Saccharomyces cerevisiae S288C: one gene and its partners. The main gene of each other region encodes a partner of the protein of the gene in region 3 in a complex. Each region holds a gene or a part of one and is shown on either strand. Other genes may lie near its edges. The genes, in order: RSM26, RSM10, MRPS16 and VAR1.

Region 1 (2,891 bases), on a different chromosome or scaffold from region 3:
AATGAGGACATCCAAAGATCTGTATCACAGGTATTTATTGATGAAATTTGGTCGCAAATGACCAAAGAAGGCAAATGCTTACCGATTGACCAAAGTGGTAGGAGAAGCAGCAATACCACCACTACGAGATATTTTATATTATGGAAGAGCTTAGACAGTTGGGCTTCTTTGATACTACAGTGGTTCGAAGACTCTGGAAAACTGAATCAAGTCATTACGTTATACGAATTGAGTGAAGGTGATGAAACAGTCAATTGGGAGTTCCATAGAATGCCCGAAAGCTTGCTCTATTATTGTTTGAAGCCCCTATGCGATAGAAATAGGGCCACAATGCTGAAAGATGAAAATGATAAAGTAATTGCCATTAAGGTTGTTTAAAACACGAGCGAGAGGATAAAATAAAACTATTTACAGTATATAAGATTTTGGTAGATCCCCTTCTACCCGATACCTTTATAATTACATATGAGGGTAAGAGGCTATCGCTTCCTTTCTTTTCATTACTTCGATATACCAGAGAATATCCTATTATTTACCACTGACCAATTCAAGTTATCTAGAACATTCTTCACGTATTTGGACCGGTTACCAACGCCATAATCATGTAAATAAGCATGATCCCACAGATTGACACAGATTATAGGCATGGTCCAGTCTTGAACCTTACCATTCAACTTAGTAGACTTTCCTATCAGTTCTTTCATTTGTTTCAAGGTAGCAAATTCATCGATGGATATCGCACTGTTTAAATCAAATGACTGGTTCCTGGGAAAATAATACGGCGTACCATTATTATTGCTCGTTAATATGAAGAGTTTTTTCTCATTGTTTTCAACTAGAAATAACCAGCCTTGTCCCAAGACTTCATTCTCAGCACGGTAAATCATTTCCTCCTTCACTACTTCCCAATCGCTGCCGTTGAATGAATCTTTGATTTTGGATAAAAAAAGCCTAGAAGGCTCTGTCTTCACAACGGCGTTCGAGTTAGTGCCATGTTCAACAGCAGAAGGTAGAATGTTCTCCACGAATAAATGGTTATTATGGATAGAGGACGCCAAATTGAAGATGTTTGACTGTAATGGATTTCCTGCAGTTTTCAGCAATATGTGAAATGGATAATATGATTCCAAAGACTGTCCCGCTGTCGCCAGCGTTAGCTTATCACATAGATATCGCTGGTAGTCGAACCACACCGTCTTGAATCCCGAAGAACTGAGTATATTAGGCACTCCATTTTGCAGTAGGGCCTTAGAATTTGGTAGTTTAGGTACTACGTGAATACCCCTTTTGAAAACAAGCATTTCTCTGCGTCTTAGTTGCGCCAAGAAGACGATATTATGTGGTCTTCAGAAATTTGCCTGCAAAATATCCTCTTATTGTGAAAAGACTTTTGCTATACCCTTCTTACTTTTCCATGCTTTGCGATACTTCTTGCTCAGTCCAAAAAAGTACTGCGGCACCTCTCCTAAGATTCTTGGAAAGATGGGAAGTGAAAAAAAAAAATACAAAAAATAATGAGAGCTAAGGGATTCGAACCCTTGCATCCGAAGATATCAGAGATTTTAGAGGTTAAATCCACCTAAATCTGACGCCTTAAACCACTCGGCCAAACTCCCATTGTTTGTTGAATGGACTTCATAAACAATCGCATATCATTGATTGGTTACTTTTTAAGAAGGGATTGATGCCAAAGTCAGATGGTAACCATTGGATCAAGTGATAACACGTTTAAATGAAACAGTACCCATTTCTATAGACCAGATACCACGGAAGGATTACTGTAGAGGTGAGATATGAGATAGAGGGAATTGCCATTCGGTTAATAGCATATATAGGTTTTTATATGGAAGATTTGTGGGGCAATTGATTACCTTGTCAAAAATATATATAATATCTTGGAGCTGTAAAGGAAAGGCAATGTACAAAATCGACCAAGAGCTTTACTAAGTCTGGACAGTCGTTTGTCTGCCGATGTGGAAAAATAGCTTTCAATATAGTTATAGGAAGAATTTTCATAACAAGTGCGCGGTCTTGTTCCCCTTAACAGGTTCCGAACCTAGTATGGGAGAGGTTTCATTGACTTCGTTATATACTTCATTCAAGTTTGTAAGCCTACCGGCAATAAGGATTTGAAAAGTACGAAATGAAAAAAGACAAAACAAAAGAAGATTAAAGGTCAAACATAAAGGATAACACCGACATGCATAGAACGGCAATATTTCTAACTTACCGATCATGTATGAGAAATTTCAGTACACTGAGTAAAACATTAACGGTTTCTTCTGGTAAAGTAATCAGAAACGGTCCATTTAGGAGAGTAATTCGTGAAAAGAACCAAATAACGAAGGCGCCATCAGTAAAAGCATTTAAAGAAAATAGCAATAGCGGGATAATAAAAGTACATGATCCTATAGCTACTACGATACTTAATGAACCGACAGTTATTATCGAAAGGCAAATAGAATTTATGAACGTTTTTCTAGGTTTCGAGCAGGCTAATAGGTATGCCATAATGGATGTGAACGGAAACAAAATAGCATCAATGATGGAAAGAGATTTTTCTATAACAAAGGCCATAATGCGGCAGTTTTATCGTCTACATCGTCCTTTTTTGGTAGATGTCTTTGATAATTGGGGAAATGTAATAATGACGATTAAAAGGCCCTTTTCGTTCATCAATTCTCATATAAAGACTATCATACCTCCTTCCGCGTATGTTGATAATGGCAGTGACTCCACTCACTATCACGACGGTAAAGAAGGAACGACAGTAGGAGAGACCATTCAGAACTGGCATCTCTGGAGGCGTCGTTACGAATTATTCCAGAAAGATGGAGTAGAAGGATCCACTTTTGACCAATTTGGTAAGATAGATGCACCTTTCTTATCAT
Region 2 (2,792 bases), on a different chromosome or scaffold from region 3:
CTCAATATGAATTCAGATTCCATATCTGCTACCAAGAATGTTTTTATATTATTTTTTACCATTTTCAGATTAGCGGAGTATATTGTATACAAACTCTCTGACCAGAAGTATCGGTTACACACATCCCTGAATGTCCAACATTTCAGGTGGAATTCGAAGAAGAATACAAACAGAAAAAGGACACTTTCCTTTAGCAAAGCTTACTTACCAAGAACAAATATACTACCGATTTTTGTAGCCGATGGACTAAAAAATAGATTCTCAGGCCCGCTACCTGGTAAGTCCTTGGAAAGCTTCCAGAAACTAAATTTATTGAGCGATAACAATATTAAGCGGTATGCAGTACCAGGAAACAAAGCAGTGAACACACTTTTATGGCAAGAGCAATACTCATAACGGGCCGCAATATTAGTACAAAATTGTTCATCATATAGTTAAAAAATATAATTAAACTTACTTATAAATTCAGTATAACCATTTAATCTACTACTTTTTGCCCCTCTTCTTCACCTATTTTATTTACAAGTACGAAATCTTTTCGGTCCCAAGAACCAGCGTAATTATAGGATTGCCATCATCTTTTTACTTCTTTTCCAAATGTTTTTTAAAATCGGGGCTATCCAATAGTTCCAATACTTTTTGTCCGACAGCACTAGTTTGAGCTTTATCATCGTTTCTCAGAGAATACAATTCATCGATATTGCTTAGTGATTTTTCGAGGCCATTGGCGTCCGAACCCAAGTCCAGCGATATTTCGGACCTTTGAAAGAAGTTACATTTCATTCCGACGCCTGCCATAGAGTGCTTCGTAATGTAAGCTATCAACATCTGTAGCACTTCGGGGTTCGTATCCCAGGCCCTAATGAGCCTCTTATGTGTATGTCTTTCAAAATTCTCTTTGGATTTAGCGTGCACGAAAGGTGATTTTATTACAGTCCACCTTTCTCTTCTCGTGGGCAAAGGTTTAGGACCTGTCAATGGGATACCCAAATAGTAACCTGTTCTAAGTATGAAGTCTGAATAAAAATCGAGGTTTTCATTGTCATACGATCTTAACTGAATGTCTGCAACTAAATCACCATATTTGATAGGTAACTTTAAAGGAGCATAGTAGACTGCCTCTACATTTACAGGATATGGGCGCGTCGACTGTGTTCTGATAAATGATCTTAATGCAATGGTATTTCTAAGCATTGGCCAATGTTTTTCCCCCTTTTCTGATTTTGCACGGTTCGCATAATTCTAATTTGTACCAAATAGTTTCATTTCATGCCCTTTCTTGCATTTTTTCCTTTTCAAAAGAAAATAGATGTACAGGTATTACCCGCCTGGTACATAGTTTGCTAACATTCTTGCCCAATCTCTCTGCTGTTAATAAAGGATGTGTGGATACATGACTAATTTCCGGATTAAACAGTGACGATAAGAAACGGTATGGCAAGAGTCAGAATTTGATAAGACTTCAGTAATATTGATTATCGGTCGAACTAAGCTACCCTCTTGGTTAAATTCTAATGACTACCAGTGTGGTCAATATTTTAGGGTTATCGGTGAACGATAACAAAATCCGTAATTGTTTCCTACGCTGGTTATTACTAAGTAGCCACTCGGTGGCTATCTCTAGCCGTTCATCAATCATGTCAAAAGTACAATCACTGAGCTTATTAAGTCATCCGCACGTGGAACTCACACAAGCCCCGAATTTTGTCAGCCATTCCGTGGAAAATCCTTTATCTCGTCACTCTTGTACGGAAGTTGCACCTTTAGCCCCACTCCCAGATCTTCAATCACAGAGGCAATGAGGGTGGCTGTGCAATGTAAACTTTCTTATCGCTTCCTGTTATGATTGATTACCATGCGCGGTAGAAGGATTGAATGAGGGGTGTGGGTGTGATAATTCATGTACGGACCCTTTCCTCCCAGAAGCTTCTGCACGAAGTGGTTACATTGTGAGTACAGGGTCTTAAACATCGCCGTGCGGCGTCATTTTGCGGGGCTCATCATTTATTTCCTACTTCTATGACGTTTGTTAGGGCAGGGATGTAGATTTTGGTCATATACTTTCACCTGACAGAAGAAAAAACAAGGTCTTAGAGCAGTATTCCCGAATTATTGCCTCTTTCCTTGGTGGGTGCGGGTTAATATTAGATGAACGGTGGGTTGTGGTCAAACCCGGGGTAGGTTTTAAAATGTCATGCGTTTTCGTCATTTACATAGATATATACAGGGAAAATATATATATATATATATATATATATATATACCTAAGGGAAACAATTTGAATAGATAAAAGGTCTTTTCCTCTTATTCCGTTCTTTCTTTTTAGAGTACTATTAATTTCTACTATTTCTCCTATCTTTCTTTTCTCATTAGTAATAGTCTAATCATTTATATTCTAATATTAACTTTAATAAAGCAGATATCTTCATCAAGTGAACTGTTCACACTTAATTCACATTTATTTGAGGCAACAATACGTATATTTACTAATTAAAGAAAAAACTTCGTACACAGAATTGAAAATTTTCGATGGGCGAAGGAACTACTAAGGAAAACAATAATGCAGAATTCAATGCTTATCACACGCTGACTGCAGAAGAAGCCGCTGAATTCATAGGCACAAGTCTAACTGAAGGTTTGACCCAAGATGAGTTCGTCCACAGATTGAAAACAGTGGGTGAGAACACATTGGGTGATGACACTAAAATTGATTACAAGGCAATGGTCCTCCATCAGGTATGTAATGCCATGATCATGGTCCTTCTAATATCCATGATAATCTCGTTTGCCAT
Region 3 (2,768 bases):
CCCAGTATATTTCAGAATTACAACCACAACCTATCTTAGCCCGCACAAATTCTAACAATAGTGTTAGCAACAGTAATGCCTTTTCTTTACTCACGCCAACGCCTACAACAGATTCCGCATTTAATTTTAACATAGCTCTGCTATCGAGACAACGTAGCAATATCATATCGTCCCCCTTAGCTAGTACTCGTTTACCTACAGCAAACGTGTCCACTGAAGAATCCTCTATTTTACCAAATGAATCATTGAAGCTAAAAAGAGATTTATTGCGTCTTAAAAGGTAAATAGTGCCGAACAGTCAGGAGCACACAATACATGACCTATAATGACACTATCTTAATGAAATTCTATTACACTTTCTCTTTTCTTCACATTCGATTAAGAATTTAATTTATTCCATTTCAAGTCTCATTCTCCATTTTCTGGTTGGCCATAGATGTATTATTTACAAGTCTGATAGATATAAAAGCGCCAAGTAAAACATATATACAACATATACATATACACCTCGCATCAATTAAAACACGTTCCTTTGCTTTCCTTTCTTTTTCTTTTTTTTTTTTTTTCCGATCTTTTTCACTCCAATGTTTCCATTCTTTCAAATACAACTTTCCTATTCACATTGCTGTTCTTACTAGTGGCCCATGCATCATTTAATATACCAGCCTTTCGTAATAGTTTAGTAACTGTTTCGCTAGGTTGTGCTCCCACACCAATCCAATATTTTGTTCTATCAAAATCAAGCTTCACGTCTTTAATAGGTACAACGCCCCTCTTCAATTCTCTCTTGGTCACTGGGCTGGGTACCGGCACGTAGGTTCCTAGTACCTCGATCGGTTTAGCATCCCTCGCCTTACGGGAATTAGCCACTACGATATTATAGACCGGACTATTTTTTCTTCCAAATCTAGCTAACCTTATTCGTACTAGACCACAGGTCATACTTGATAAACTCTATTACAATTTCTTAACGGAATACCAGTCAGAACTCCTCCGTTACTTAAGTCGTGTATATATTCCCCTTCCTTTTTTCTTACAACTGTTCTTGGTGTACTATTTCATTTTTTCCGTCCTGAATGATAGATGATCATAATTAGTGAAAATTTTTCTTTTCGCTGCAGTGTTTAAAATTTTAATTATATCATCTCATCTCATCGCGCAATTAGAACTTCCTCGGTCGCAGTTAATTCTCTCAGAGAAGAGTTTTAGTTTGAAAAGGTTCAACTTATTTTTTTACTGATTGAATTCAACCAGGTAATTTCTAGATTTTGAACAGCATCTCGCGAATTGAATCAGCAAATCTCAGAGTTCATCATGGATCAAGACAAAGTTGCTTTTCTTTTAGAGCTGGAGGACAAGCTGGCTAAAATTCGTTCCCAAGTAAACTCTAAATTGGAGAATCAAAAGCATATTGCTATAATATTAACTGCCGTTGAGGAAAATATTGCAGGTCAAGCTACAAATGATGTTTCAAAAAACATTGTAAATTATATCATTTCCTTTATGTCACTATTGGATCAAGCAGTAGACCCATCTACTCATGAAATAAAAGATATTCAATTGGCTTCCTCATCTACATATCTTCTAGATCTGATATTTCATTATTCGCCTAAGGTATTATTAAGATCGAAGTTTTCTGAAATCCTAACGAAAATTGCCCCATGTATCACTGCAGAAAAGGCTAATGCCCCTCTAATTAGAGCTGCTATTGGTTGTTTAGAATCTCTTCTTATTGCTCAAGATGCACAAGCCTGGAACAATACTTATGATCTAAACGTCACTCCAAAAAGAGGTTTGCAGGGTATACTTGAACTTTCTTTAGATGTAAGACCAAAAGTTAGAAAGAGAGCGCTAGATGCAGTTCATGCGGTCTTATTAAACCCTCCTGTTGCACCAACTGCAGAGCATGTAGCGGCAGTTTTTGTAGCAGATTTCTGTGACAAGCAGTTAGCAGGTATTTTAAATGATCTCTCGAATTTATCAAATAAACAATTGAAAGCACAGAAAACAAAGGAAGACATTAACGCTAGTGTCATGCGCTCTCTAAGGTTGATTACTTCAGTCGTCTCTACTGGACAGTGGCCATCTTCACAGATTGAGCCTCTTTGTGATGTACTATTGGGAGTCACCAAAAGCTCAGAGCAATATCTCGTTTCTGCATCATTTGAATGTTTTGAAAGCATGTTCAAAACAATGGCAGAAACTACCATTTCTTCTGGATTGGCTGAAAATAAGTACCTAAGAGTCTTGGATACCATTTTTGCATTAAAACCCTCAAATGTCGATACATTATTAACCAAGTCCTGGATTGCTGTGGTCATTAAGGGTATGTCCACTTACGCAACACATCAACCACTGAAAGCGCTACGTAAAATTCCTGGTGTATTTCACATTATGTGCACATATTTAGCTAGTGAAACTCCAGAAGTGTACCAAGCTGCCTCTCAATGTCTTATCTCAATCCTTTCTGAGTCTGTTAAAGATGATTTGTTATTGTATACACCAAGTGTGGATGAGAAAGTTTTCAAAAACGTAGATGAAATCATCTCTCAAATTGCGAAAACATTTATCGACTTTTTATCCATTAGATATTCCCATTGTTCCAGAGAAATTCTTAAGATTTTGGTGGCAGCATTCAACAAATTCAGATATAGATCTAATCCTCACTTTTTAAAATCACTGAAAATAGTCGATACATGGAGAGTAAATGAAGAACAGTTTATGGATTTGAGAAATGAAATCGAATTAGTAATCGGAGCCTCCATTTC
Region 4 (3,775 bases), on a different chromosome or scaffold from region 3:
ATTTTATTTATTTTTTTTAATATTATATATTAAAATATAATAGAAAAAAGAGTATTATATATTAATATAAAATATATTAATATAAATAACTAACCGCCCCCGCGGGGGCGGTTTATATAATTTAATAATTAATATATTAATAATAATTATAATAGTCCGGCCCGCCCCCTGCGGGGCGGACCCCGAAGGAGTAATATATATATATATTTTTATTTAATTAACTATCAATAATAATTATTTATAATAATAAAATATAAATAGGATCCAAAAGTAGGATTAATTTATAATTTTATTTGATATTTATTTTTAATTAAATTATTATTATAATAATTATATAAAAAAATTAATTAATTAATATTTTTAATATAAATAAATTATAATTTTATTTTTATATAATTATATGATATTATATTATATTTTATTTATATATAATTATATATATATAAAAAGTAAATATTATTTTATATATTTATATATATATATATATTATTTATTTATTTATTTTATTTATTATATTTATTTTATTTCTCCTTTCGGGGTTCCGGCTCCCGTGGCCGGGCCCCGGAACTATTAATATATATATTAAATAAAGTTTAATTTAACTTTAATATTATATTTACCATTTTTATTAATATTAGAATTATTATATAAATTATGATTAGAAGGGATATAATTTAATTTATAATTATTATTAATATTACTTCATAAATATTTTTTATTATTAAAAGTACCATTTAATAAATTAAGTGTACTAGTTCTACCATTATTATTACTTAATCTACCTTTAAATTTAATAGATCAACCAACTAAATATTTATATATTAAAATATCTATAGGAATATTATCAATAGTTATATTATTATAAATATTATTAATATTACCAATATAATTATTATTATTATTATTATAATTATTATTATTATTAATATTATTATTATTATTTAATAAATTAATTATATTATTATATTTATTATTATTAATATTATTAATATTATTAATATAATTTATAGAAATATTATGATCATTTAATTTAGGCATAATATTATTTAATATACGTTGATAATTAGTTAAGATACCATTATTATATTTATCTATATCATTTAAACTAATATATTTACTAAAAATATCACTATTTAAATAAATATATGATAATTTAATAGGTTCAATAGTTACTTTTTTTTTATAATAATAACTTAAAATATTACATAAATTATTATTTATATTATTATTTATAATATTTATTAATTTATTTATTATATTTATATAATAATTATTATTATTATTATTATTATTATTATTAATATCATTATTATAATAATAAAATTTAATATTTAATTTATTTAAACTATGTTGATTAATAAGTTTACTTATAATAATTTTATTAATATTTATATTATTTAATTTTAAAGTTATTATTTTATATAATAATTTATTAATTAATTTATCATTTATAGTATTTATAATTTCTATATTTTTATTATAATTATAAATTTGTAGATTTCAATTATTTATATTATTTAAATGTTGTAATTTATTATTAATATTCCCCGCGGGACCAATCCGGTGAACAACCGGATTGGCGCCCGCGGGGTTTATATTATTATTATTTAATATTCTTTTTATATTATTTATTTTTTTATTATTTATATCTAATAATATATTCTTTAATAATAATTTCTTATTTATTAATGAATCTAATAGATTATTAATAATAATATTATTATTATTATTAAGTTTATTTATTATTGATAAAATTATATTTAATAATTTTAATTTCATTATTTTTTATTTTTACTTTTTATCTATTATATATACATATTAATATTAATATTAATATAAATAGAAATATATATATATATATAATATGCATCCTTATTATAATATTATTTATTATTATAAATAATAATATATTAGATATTTTTTGCAGTTATTAATAACATTATATTCTTTATAATAATAATATAAATCCCAAATAAAAAAAAATAATTATTATTAATAATTTATATATAAATAATTTATAAAATAAAATATTATAATTTTATATATAAAAATAAAAATATTATTAAAATAAAATATATCATAATATTATTAAAATATATATATAAATATATAAATATATATATATATATATAAATATAAAGAATTATTAATTATTTATAATTTTTAATATATTATTATTAATTAATAAAATAAAATCCCTTCTTAAGAATAAAAAGGGTCGGACCGGACTATTATATAAATAATATTATTAAAATAATAATTATTATTATTATTATTTTTATATATTTTATATTTATTAAAATTAATTAATTAATTAATTATTATTATTTATTTATTTATTTTATTTTTATAGGAATAATATTAAAATTATTATTATATATATGTATTATTACGGATGATGTAGGATTTGAACCTACGTAGCCAATAAAGACTAATGATAGCTCAAATATCACACTTTAAACCACTCAGTCAACCATCCTTAAGAGGAATATAAATATAAATATAAATATTAATATAAATATAAATATTAAATAAACTCCTTTCGGGGTTCCGGCTCCCGTGGCCGGGCCCCGGAACTATAAATATATTATATATATATATTATAAAAATCTTTAATATAATATTATATAATTATTAATATAAGAACTTTTAAACTTTTATTAATTTATTTTCTCCTTCGGGGTTCGGTCCCCCTCCCTAACGGGAGGGGGTCCCTCACTCCTTTCTTAAAATAAATTATTATTAATAATTATTATATAATAAGAATTAATATAATTAATATAATTAATTTTATAAATTATAATATTAAAATAATTATTATTATTATTATATAATTAATCATATATTTTTAATTTATTATATTTATTAATATAATATAAATTATTATTTAATATTTAATATTTAAATAATATAAACCCCGCGGGACCAATCCGGTGAACAACCGGATTGGCGCCCGCGGGGAATATTAATAAATTAAATATTTAAATAATTATAATTAAATATTATTAATGTATATATAAATTTATATATTATATAGATAGATAGATAGATTTATAATATATTTTATTATATTGTTATAATATATTATAATTTATTTATAAACCTAATTATTATATTAATTATATGAAAATTATAAATTATATATATTTTATTAAATATTAATAGTTCCGGGGCCCGGCCACGGGAGCCGGAACCCCGAAAGGAGATGTTCACTAATATTATATTAATATTAATATTAATATTATTAAATGAATAATACAATAAAAATTATATTGTGTTCAATTAAATATATTTAATATATTTATATATAAAGAATTTATTATTTATTAATAAATATTATCATAATATATATATTTCTTATTTATTAATAAATATTTTTATTATTAATAAATAATATATCTTATTATGGTAATTTATATTTATTTATATAAATGTTTATTATAACAATATTTATAAATTATTATTATTAATAATATAAAAAAAGTAATTATATATTATCCATTATTTATTTATTTATATATTAATATATTAAAAAAAAGGTATATTATATATTATTATTATTTTTTATTATAATTTATATATATTATTATTATTATAATATTTATATATTTTATAATAATTATATAATTATAAGAATGTTATTAATTTAATCAAATGAGATTTTATTTTATTTTATTTTTTTATTAATTTCATTATTTTTTATTTATTTATAATATATTATATATATTATACACCGAATAATAATAAGAATGAAACCATTAAACAGAATAAACCT

What was found.
Region 1: MRPS16 (region 3) and RSM26 share a complex: the UniProt entries of both Saccharomyces cerevisiae proteins name them as parts of the mitochondrial small ribosomal subunit.
Region 2: MRPS16 (region 3) and RSM10 share a complex: the UniProt entries of both Saccharomyces cerevisiae proteins name them as parts of the mitochondrial small ribosomal subunit.
Region 4: MRPS16 (region 3) and VAR1 share a complex: the UniProt entries of both Saccharomyces cerevisiae proteins name them as parts of the mitochondrial small ribosomal subunit.

Annotation. Positions count from the first base shown.
Region 1 is NC_001142.9:616,644-619,534, reverse strand, and holds RSM26 (mitochondrial 37S ribosomal protein mS42 RSM26), read right to left. Parts: upstream 1,302-2,891; coding exon 501-1,301; downstream 1-500. Other genes in the region: ESCRT-II subunit protein VPS25, read left to right, coding at 1-378; AIM25 (Aim25p), read left to right, coding at 2,201-2,891. UniProt on the Saccharomyces cerevisiae protein: Component of the mitochondrial ribosome (mitoribosome), a dedicated translation machinery responsible for the synthesis of mitochondrial genome-encoded proteins, including at least some of the essential transmembrane subunits of the mitochondrial respiratory chain.
Region 2 is NC_001136.10:538,205-540,996, reverse strand, and holds RSM10 (mitochondrial 37S ribosomal protein uS10m RSM10), read right to left. Parts: upstream 1,195-2,792; coding exon 583-1,194; downstream 1-582. Other genes in the region: YDR042C (uncharacterized protein), read left to right, coding at 1-396; Na(+)/Li(+)-exporting P-type ATPase ENA1, read left to right, coding at 2,530-2,792. UniProt on the Saccharomyces cerevisiae protein: Component of the mitochondrial ribosome (mitoribosome), a dedicated translation machinery responsible for the synthesis of mitochondrial genome-encoded proteins, including at least some of the essential transmembrane subunits of the mitochondrial respiratory chain.
Region 3 is NC_001148.4:528,409-531,176, forward strand, and holds MRPS16 (mitochondrial 37S ribosomal protein bS16m MRPS16), read right to left. Parts: upstream 943-2,768; coding exon 577-942; downstream 1-576. Other genes in the region: CIP1 (Cip1p), read left to right, coding at 1-284; mRNA-binding protein RRP12, read left to right, coding at 1,315-2,768. UniProt on the Saccharomyces cerevisiae protein: Component of the mitochondrial ribosome (mitoribosome), a dedicated translation machinery responsible for the synthesis of mitochondrial genome-encoded proteins, including at least some of the essential transmembrane subunits of the mitochondrial respiratory chain.
Region 4 is NC_001224.1:46,905-50,679, reverse strand, and holds VAR1 (mitochondrial 37S ribosomal protein VAR1), read right to left. Parts: upstream 1,780-3,775; coding exon 583-1,779; downstream 1-582. Other genes in the region: OLI1 (F0 ATP synthase subunit c), read right to left, coding at 3,727-3,775. UniProt on the Saccharomyces cerevisiae protein: Component of the mitochondrial ribosome (mitoribosome), a dedicated translation machinery responsible for the synthesis of mitochondrial genome-encoded proteins, including at least some of the essential transmembrane subunits of the mitochondrial respiratory chain.